2 linked regions of the Canis lupus familiaris genome follow. The protein of the gene in region 1 binds, or shares a complex with, the protein of each later gene. Links are inferred from orthologs where the notes say so. Each region holds a gene or a part of one and is shown in the gene's direction. Other genes may lie near its edges.

Region 1 (3,818 bases):
TAGTAAGAAAGCTAACTCTAGAGCTAAAAGCTACCTGAGCTGCAATCTACTCTACTACTAGTTGTGTGCCATTAGGCAGGTTACTTGACATTTTAGTGTTCTCTGTAAAAAGGGATAATAATGGTCCCTAGTTGACAGAATTATGAAGATTAAGCTAATACATGTAATACATGTAAATCCATTAGGACAGTGCTTGGCACATAGTGCACATTCAGAAAAAGTTGCTTTTTGACATTTTGTTTTTCAAGAATAAATCAAGTGGTTTTATTTATTTTTTTATATAAATTTATTTTTTATTGGTTTTCAATTTTCCAACATCTAGAATAACACCCAGTGCTCTTCCCATCAAGTGCCCCTCTCAGTACCCATCACCCAGTCACCCCCACCCCCGGTTTTTTGACATATTAATTGTCTTCAGATACAGACAATTATCATGGTCTTTGTTTTCAGTTTTACAGAGCATAATTTTTGAGATGCCTAAGGACTTAAGATCCTAATTTTCAGCTTTTTAAAATCCGTGTTATATCAAAAGGCTACAAATTAAGTGGGGGAAATGAGGGGAAAAAACTATTCTTTAAGTCTGTGATAAAATGATAGGAATTAAGTAAACTTTTGTTTTCATCTCAAAAGAATTCAGGAATTTCCTATATTTCTTTTTGGAAATATGGATGTTTTAAATTACTTTTAATGTTCTCAGGTATATATCTGGCTCAGACCTCTTTCTCAGTGCAAGTTACATCTATAACCATTATTGTGATTGCAAAGACCAACATTATTACCTTTCTGGGGACAAAATCAATGATGTCATCTGCCTTCCAGTGGAAAGATTACCTCGTATTACACCGATATTGGCCTGCCAGGACAGAGTGCTCAGAGTTTTACAGGTTTCTGTTATTTGCATTTTTATAGTTTTTCATAATTTATGTAAATGAATATAGCTGAACAATGTGTACTTGAGATAGATTACTTACTACCGCTTTAAATGTCCTACTTAAAATTATATTTGTAAAAAATACTTTTTAATTGGTAAGCTAATTTTTTTTTTTTTTTAGCTTGAGACAAATGTATTGAGAATTTTGGCAAATTTTTAGAGAGGCATATTTGGGAAAAAGGATGCTTTTCTGTCCCCATGCATAATTTCTGAGTTAGTTCAGTCAGAATGGAGTCTTTGCTACAAAGGACACTTCTCACCTTTTTTTTTTTTTTTTTTTTCTTTCTTTCTTCTTCCATTACTCTTTCCTCTCCCCAAAATCAAACTAATGGAGAAAATTGGTTTGGGGAGAGGATGTTAGGTTTTAACAAAGAAGGGATAGTTGTGATCAGAGTTGTATCATTTGCACTTATTCCACATTAATGACAGTTCTGGAACAGAATAAGCACTCAGTAAATATTAGAGAAGTAAATGAATGATAGAGGGAAAAATTTTATCATCCTTACATTTCTATTAAAAACATGATTGTTTAAAACAACTGCATAAGACATTGTTATTAGTAATAATAGTTACAACTATGTCTTCTCAAAAGTGACTTTCAGTAAAATACACATACATACACATGCCAGGATCCATAAAATAAAGTTTATGCAAATAAACTACACATGCAAATAATCTAGAACGGATAGATTATTTGGGTCAGAAAGTTGGACTAATATTGGTACAGTTGAACAAAACATCTACCACTTTATTCTTTGCCATCACTAACTTTCTCACTCTGGAATTTCATAACTAGATGGCCATTTCTTGACATCAGTTCTTTAAATGGAAGGGAAAATCCAGTAATTCTGTGAGGTTTTTTTTTTTTTTTTCTATGGGAAAACAAAGTTGACATTCAAGGTTCATTCTAGGGGCCTGAATAATTAGTTTCTTCCATTGTCTGTACTCCCAAATATGAGTTGTCTGAATAAGGCTTTTAACAGGAACTGGGTAATATTCAATTAGGAATTAGTCTGGCTGATTCTAGGATTCTGCTTTGTTTAACAAGAAGAGATGGATGTGCTTACTGTAAAATTTAAAAAAAAATCACTAAGGATTTGTGGGAACTTAAAACTTTGCCTTGCTAGTCACATATTCCTACTCTCCATCGACTCCCCATTTGTAAGCAATCATTACCCCAGAGGTAGCCTTTTTAAAAAGTTTTTATGTGTATTTTTTGTGTTTATATAGTTGATATGTATGAATTTTCAGGTGTAATTTTAAATAAAAAAATAAAGTATGACTTTAACATGTTCTATATAAATTTAATTTTTTAAGAAAAATATCATTCCATATTTACTATAATTTCATGGGTTTCTTTGTTGAATGATCTATCGTGGATATTTTTTCCACTTGAGTATGAGTACTTCTACCTCATTCTTTAGCAGCTTCACAAATTATGTATACTAAATGAAAATATTACAAGTGGCAAAATTTTTAAAAAGACAAATAAATGGGCGTAATTTGTTTTCCTGTCTAAATAACTGGCTCTCATTGGAGTTGGTCTTGGAAATATCCAAATGCAGGACCAACCTTCTCCTTTAGGAAGTAACTTTGGATCTGTTTAAATGTTTGAATGTGTTCTAAGTTAAACTGGACAAAAGAAACAACTTGTTCCAGGAAAGCTTTGATAGTAAAATTTACCAGTGTTAAGTTTTCAGGCAAAGTATTTAAAATGAAAATTATTTGAAGTGTAGAATATTATATGTATTTCTTCTTGATCTTTACATTTTATATGTATTTTAAAACGAGTTAACATACACAAAATAGCTAACAAATTCAAGTTAATCACAATCTAACTTTTTCTGGCAGTTTTTATTCTACAGTTCTTTATATGAATATTGATGTTTATCTATTAGTGTCAATGTTTTAAATTTGTATTCTGTTTCAGTTTTAAAATACTTGTTCTCCTTCAGGGGTCTGATGTGATGTATGAAACTGAAGTGCCTGGCCCACCTACTGTCTTAGCACTACATAACGGAAATGGCGGTAATGATAATCAAGGGAGTGTATTGTGTTAGGTCTAGATATTTCAGGTTTAATCATTTAACTATAAATAAAGTGAATGAAAATAGGAATTGTAGAAAGAGCATGAACTAGAATTAAGACAGTTTTCGGGTAACTTGCCAGTAACTAACAGTAATGAATTATTGAACTTTAATTTTCAGTTTCCTCATCTTAAAATTAGATGATGAGGAAGGGTCTTATCCCTTATATTTATAAAATTCTGTGACTATGTAACCAACTTCCAAATTAAGTGTCTGACTTTTTATATTTTTTAAATGAGATTTTTATGTGATATTAAAAAAAATTTCAGCTATAAAGAGATTATGAGTCATGGAATAAATATAATATGTTGACTTTAATTATAATCAGGAGACTCTGGAGAAGAACTTTTGTTTGGAACATCAGATGGAAAACTTGGGCTTATTCAGATCACTACCTCCAAACCAATACACAAGTGGGAAATTCAAAATGAGAAAAAGCGGGGAGGTAGGTTCGTGATATAGATTCTGAAATTTCATTGATTATTAAATACCTAAATTATATAGTTCATTCTGTTTAATTTTTCATAGTACGTAGTAGACTTAGTAATTCACAAAGCCACCTTATTATTTATTTATCAGGTCTGTCATATTTTGGCATAATCTTTAATTAAGAAATGCTAATAGTAATTTAGGATAGATAGGCTTTTATGGGCTATTGTCCATCTATAACATCATTCTGTGGTCGAATCCATTATTCACTGTTTGGTGTAGGATATTCATTGGAATTTGAGAGTATTCGATATGAAGCAAGGAGAAAGTCCGACAGGTCTTTTCTGTTCAACGGGAATATTTGTTTCCTA
Region 2 (4,394 bases), on another chromosome or scaffold:
AGGAAGAAGATATCCATACTCCATGTTTTTCAAGGATATCTGTGAATATTTTGGAATATACCACTATTGGGCTTTTGTTGTTAGTTTTAGCCTTTCAAGAGCCACTCTCCAGAACCACATTTTTTCATTGTAAAACAACCACATCTGCATTTAGAAATTGAGCCAAACGGCACCGTGTAATCATTCACATAAACACCCCCATCATGAATTTCATATAATTTTTCTCATCTCTTTTCACCCTCCCACTCTGCTTAATAGGTAAAATTAATTAGTAGGCCAAAGATGGGGCAGAGGGGTAAAGGTGACACTAACTAGGGTAGGGGAGGGGGGGGGGGTAGGGGAAAGCCCCATACTCAGGGCCTAAGAGGAAACTAGAGAGAAAATGTGTCTGAGGAAGGGCTTCAATCTCCAAAACCATTCATTGGGGTGCGGGTTGGGAGGTGAGGCTGAACCATTCATTGGGGTGGGGGGGGTTGGAGGTGAGGCTAGGTAGGTCGCAGGTTCCGTAAATTGACTCCTCCCGACCTTGGTGGGTCCTTTGGGAAGCGTGGCTCTAACAGGGCGGAGAGCTGCGTGTACCTAAATATTTTCACCGAGTAACCCCGTCACTGTAATTCCAGGGCAGGTTTAAGAGGCGGCCCACACGAGGCGGCCCCCTTGCTTTCCGGGGCCAGCGAGCCCATCCCGAGGAGGCGGGACAGCCAAGGAGCCAGGGTGAGGCCTCGGGCCTCCACTTTCCGGGCCTCCCCCGTCGGGCCTCCCCGTCCGGCCTGCCGTAGGGCCTCCTCTGTCCGGCCTCCCCGTCTGGCCTCCCCCCGTCGGGCCTCCCCCGTCAGGCCTTCCTCTGGCCTCCCCCAGTCCGGCCTCCCCGTCGGGCCTCCCCGTCCGGCCTGCCGTAGGTAGGGCCTCCTCTGTCCGGCCTCCCCGTCGGGGCTCCCCCCGTCCGGCCTCCCCCGCCGCCCTCCCCTCCGCGGGGCTCCCTCCGCGGCGCGCCTGCAGGCTCGGAGGCCTCGGGAACCCAGAACGCCCGGCGCGCGCCTGGCCACGGAGGCCACAGCAGGTTCCGCGGCGGCATCGCCCGACCGGGCGGGGAGACGCGGCCGGACGGGAGCGCGCCGCGGCCGCGCCGCCAGGCGCTTCCCGGCAGGCTGTGCGCACGCCTACAGCTGCCGTCAGGCGCCGTCCGGGCCGCGCGGCTCCTCGCGGGCGGCGGCGGTCCTCCCGCCCCCGACCTCCACACCTTCTCTAATGCTCGTCGCTGCGCCTCTGCCATTTCCCGGGGCCCTTCGGCCCCATAACCAGGGGCGCCAGGCCCGGCTCCCCGGGACCCGGGGGGCGTGGCCTCGGAACCGGAAGCACGTCCTGTTGCCAGGGGAACGCCGCGCACCCGGGCGCCGGCCCGGCGGCTGCTCGGGCTGAGGCGCGCGCTGCGGTCGCCTCAGCTGGTGGCGGCGGCTGTGCCCGGGCCGGGCTCCGTGCGATGGAGGCGTAGGGAGGAAGGCCGAGAGGCGCCCGAGACTTCTCCCGGGACGGACGGCCGAGCGGCCCGGGCCCAGGCCGACTCCGAGGACCAGGTACCGCCCCCCGCCCCCCCGGCGCGCCCGCCGCCACATCCTAGGATTTTTCACTCCGAACCGTTGTTTGTAAAGTGTAAAAGGTGGACAAGTTGAGGCGGCGTGTGCGGTCAGGACCAGGCATCCAGGAGGGAGACGGTTTGGGCGGGCGGTTCGGTCGGCTTTGACACCGCCCGCTTCAGGGTGTGGGAAATGCCGTGGACGCCGGCGCTCAGGGGATCCGGGCCCGGCCGGCCGCTCCCTCGGCCTGGGTCTCTGCCTCTGCCTCTCCGTGTCTCTCAGGAATAAATAAATAAGATCTTAAAAAAAGAAAGAAAGAAAGAAAGTCCATCTCCAAAAACCGAAAGCCGAATACAAATGTTTGGAGCGCTGAAAGTGTGCCTCAATTCACTCTAGGAACATTCTCTTTTTTTTTTTTTTTTTTTAAAGTTGACAAAGTACCATTCGTGGTGTTTCTCTGCCCCGTCCCCGTCTGCGACTTAACCACCTTCCAAGCTCCGCTGTGGATGAACATCCTAATACTTCGAGACTCTTCTGGCAACAAGTAATCCTTTAGAAAGAGGTTTCCCACATAACAGCCAAGGGAATTTGGTTGGCTGGTGCGCGGCAAAGCAGTAAGGTAAGAAACTGGAAAAGTACCTCAGAGCCAGACAGAGGGAGCCTTAAAAGCCACGCCCGGAAGCTCCGGCTTTACTCTGAAAGCCAGTAGTTCTCACTAGTCACCGTACATCAGAAACACTGTGTGGCTTTTTGACTTTTTAGATGTTTTTATTTATTTATTCCTGAGAGACACAGGCTGAGGGAGAAGCAGGCTCCTGCCGGGAGACCCATGTGGGACTCGATCCCCGGACCCTGGGGTCGCATCCTGTGCCGAAGGCAGACACTCAACTCACGAGCCACCCAGGCGTCCCTTCTGTGTAGCTTTTTAATATACTGGTACCCTAATGCCATCGTCAGAAATACGAATTCAGTAGTTGATTCCAGTGTGCAGCCAGAGTTGAGAATCATGGCTTTTAGGCATAGCAAGCTACAGGAGGCTTCATCTCCCACTGTGCACATAGGGCACGGTCAGTAAATTATCTGTCCTGCTTTCCTACGTGGAAAAAGTAAACTTACAGAAACGTATGATTGCTAAGAAATAGAGACATATATGTATAAGGCTATGATTACATATTTTAGAACAACTGACTTCTACATTGTACGTCCCAAAATATTTCATTAGCTAGTATTAGTTCTGATAATCTATGAAAAAGGGTTGGAAAATCACAATCCAGGGTTCTATGGATAAGGAATATTCAAGTATCAAGTTTTTGACAGTTGAGGCTTTATAGTGGATGCCCAGAGCATGATGATGTGAGAAGTGGTCATATCTTTTTTTTGAATCTGTTCAAAATTGTATGGAAGATGGAAAACAAGATAATTGTCTTAATATGTTTAGTACAATAAATAACAAAGTGACTGATAGAAAATCGACTTTGAATTATTCATGATGTCAGAAGGCGAACTTAAAGTAGATTCTGCAAATGCTCCTTAAGCTGAGACTTAAAGGAATGGATGGAGTGAGATTTGAATCTCCAAATGAGGAAAAAAGTGGCACAAATGGTGTAATCTGAGATCAAACTCATCCCTTGGATAAGATAACTGTGGCTCTCTTGTAGGCTCCATGTTCTGGTGGGGCACTGTTTCTGCTCCTTTCTACACATCATTGGAATTTGGTTTTGAAATTCCTGTCAGTATGATCTCTCAAGGGGCCTAAGCAAAATCAATGAAGCCTCCTTTTGGATGCAGTTGTCTTGGAAACCTCTCATTTAAATTGTTGCAGCCTCACATCCTTCAGGGTATGGCCTTGCCTAGGATAGTGTGGGATAAAAAATACCGAAGGAGTTGAGGGGATGATAAGCTTTTTGAACCTTAGATGGAGATGAGAATAAATCACTTAAATGAGATGAATATTTAGAGAACTTTGAAAACGATGGTTGGGAGAGTAATAGGTAACATTTAGGACACAGATTATAGTTACTGCTATAGCAATCCTTGCAGCAGTTGAAGGCTGGCACCAGAGATAGCTCTCTTCTCCCAAGATAATGTATTAATGGACCCAAGGGGAGCACCTTTGGAAAGTTTCATTTTGAGAATTCATAGCAGGTTATGAACAAGCAGTATGTCTAGCAATATATGTCTAGCAATATATTATATATTAAAGTAAGTATATCTGTTATTCCACTTGATAGAAGATACAATGTAAACTGTATATAATCAAACAAAAAAATTTAATTTTATTGTTATGACTTCAGATTAATGCATACAAAACTGGGGCTGGCTTCAGAGAAAGATTTAGCTACTGGCTCAAATAATGTAGCCGAAACCTGTTTTTCTCTTTTTTGATCTGCCTTCTACCTTCTAAGCTTCAGCATTAGGCTCTATATGAACTCATTTGCCCATAGATTCTACCAAATTTCCAGAAGAGGCAGCAGATGTTTCCAAGATTACAAGTGGCCAATTCCACATAATACTGAGTTTCACCACATTTTCTTCTTAAATATTATAATTTACTAGAAGAAATATACACTTATTTCCAGGGCATTATTCTGTGTGTTGCCTAGGGTTATAAGCTGCCAATCTGCATTTCAAATAAGACTCCTTTGTGCTAATCAGCTTAAATTTTATTTACTAAATCCAGAGCTACATTGACATGGTTTTTATCATTGTGTCTTTAAATTATTAAAGTTTTTGATGCACAGGTTCATATTTTCCATACCTAAGCTGCCTGTTATTGATACGTCTCTTTTACTTTCTGACTTGCAGCTGGTTTGGAAATAT

The links.
Region 2: the proteins of BBS7 (region 1) and ARL6 are in contact, whole or in part, in a cryo-EM structure (PDB 6VBV), measured with the Bos taurus proteins. The link is inferred for Canis lupus familiaris from reciprocal best matches to the Homo sapiens genes BBS7 and ARL6. Residues at the interface, in NP_001178275.2 of Bos taurus: Leu3, Ile249, Val250, Gly251, Asp300, Gly301, Tyr302, Asp303, Thr319, Glu320, Pro321, His323, Lys324, Glu325, Ser326, Gly327, Pro328; in NP_001069250.1 of Bos taurus: Met132, Asp133, Arg135, Thr139, Ser140, Val141, Ser144, Trp157, His158, Ile159, Cys160, Ala161, Asp163, Lys166.

Annotation. Positions count from the first base shown.
Region 1 is NC_049240.1:19,117,106-19,120,923, forward strand, and holds part of BBS7 (Bardet-Biedl syndrome 7 protein), read left to right. Parts: intron 1-697; coding exon 698-884; intron 885-2,886; coding exon 2,887-2,959; intron 2,960-3,346; coding exon 3,347-3,463; intron 3,464-3,818.
Region 2 is NC_049254.1:5,117,591-5,121,984, forward strand, and holds the start of ARL6 (ADP-ribosylation factor-like protein 6), read left to right. Parts: upstream 1-1,375; 5' UTR 1,376-1,574; intron 1,575-2,003; 5' UTR 2,004-2,193; intron 2,194-4,379; 5' UTR 4,380-4,394. UniProt on the Homo sapiens protein: Involved in membrane protein trafficking at the base of the ciliary organelle. Mediates recruitment onto plasma membrane of the BBSome complex which would constitute a coat complex required for sorting of specific membrane proteins to the primary cilia.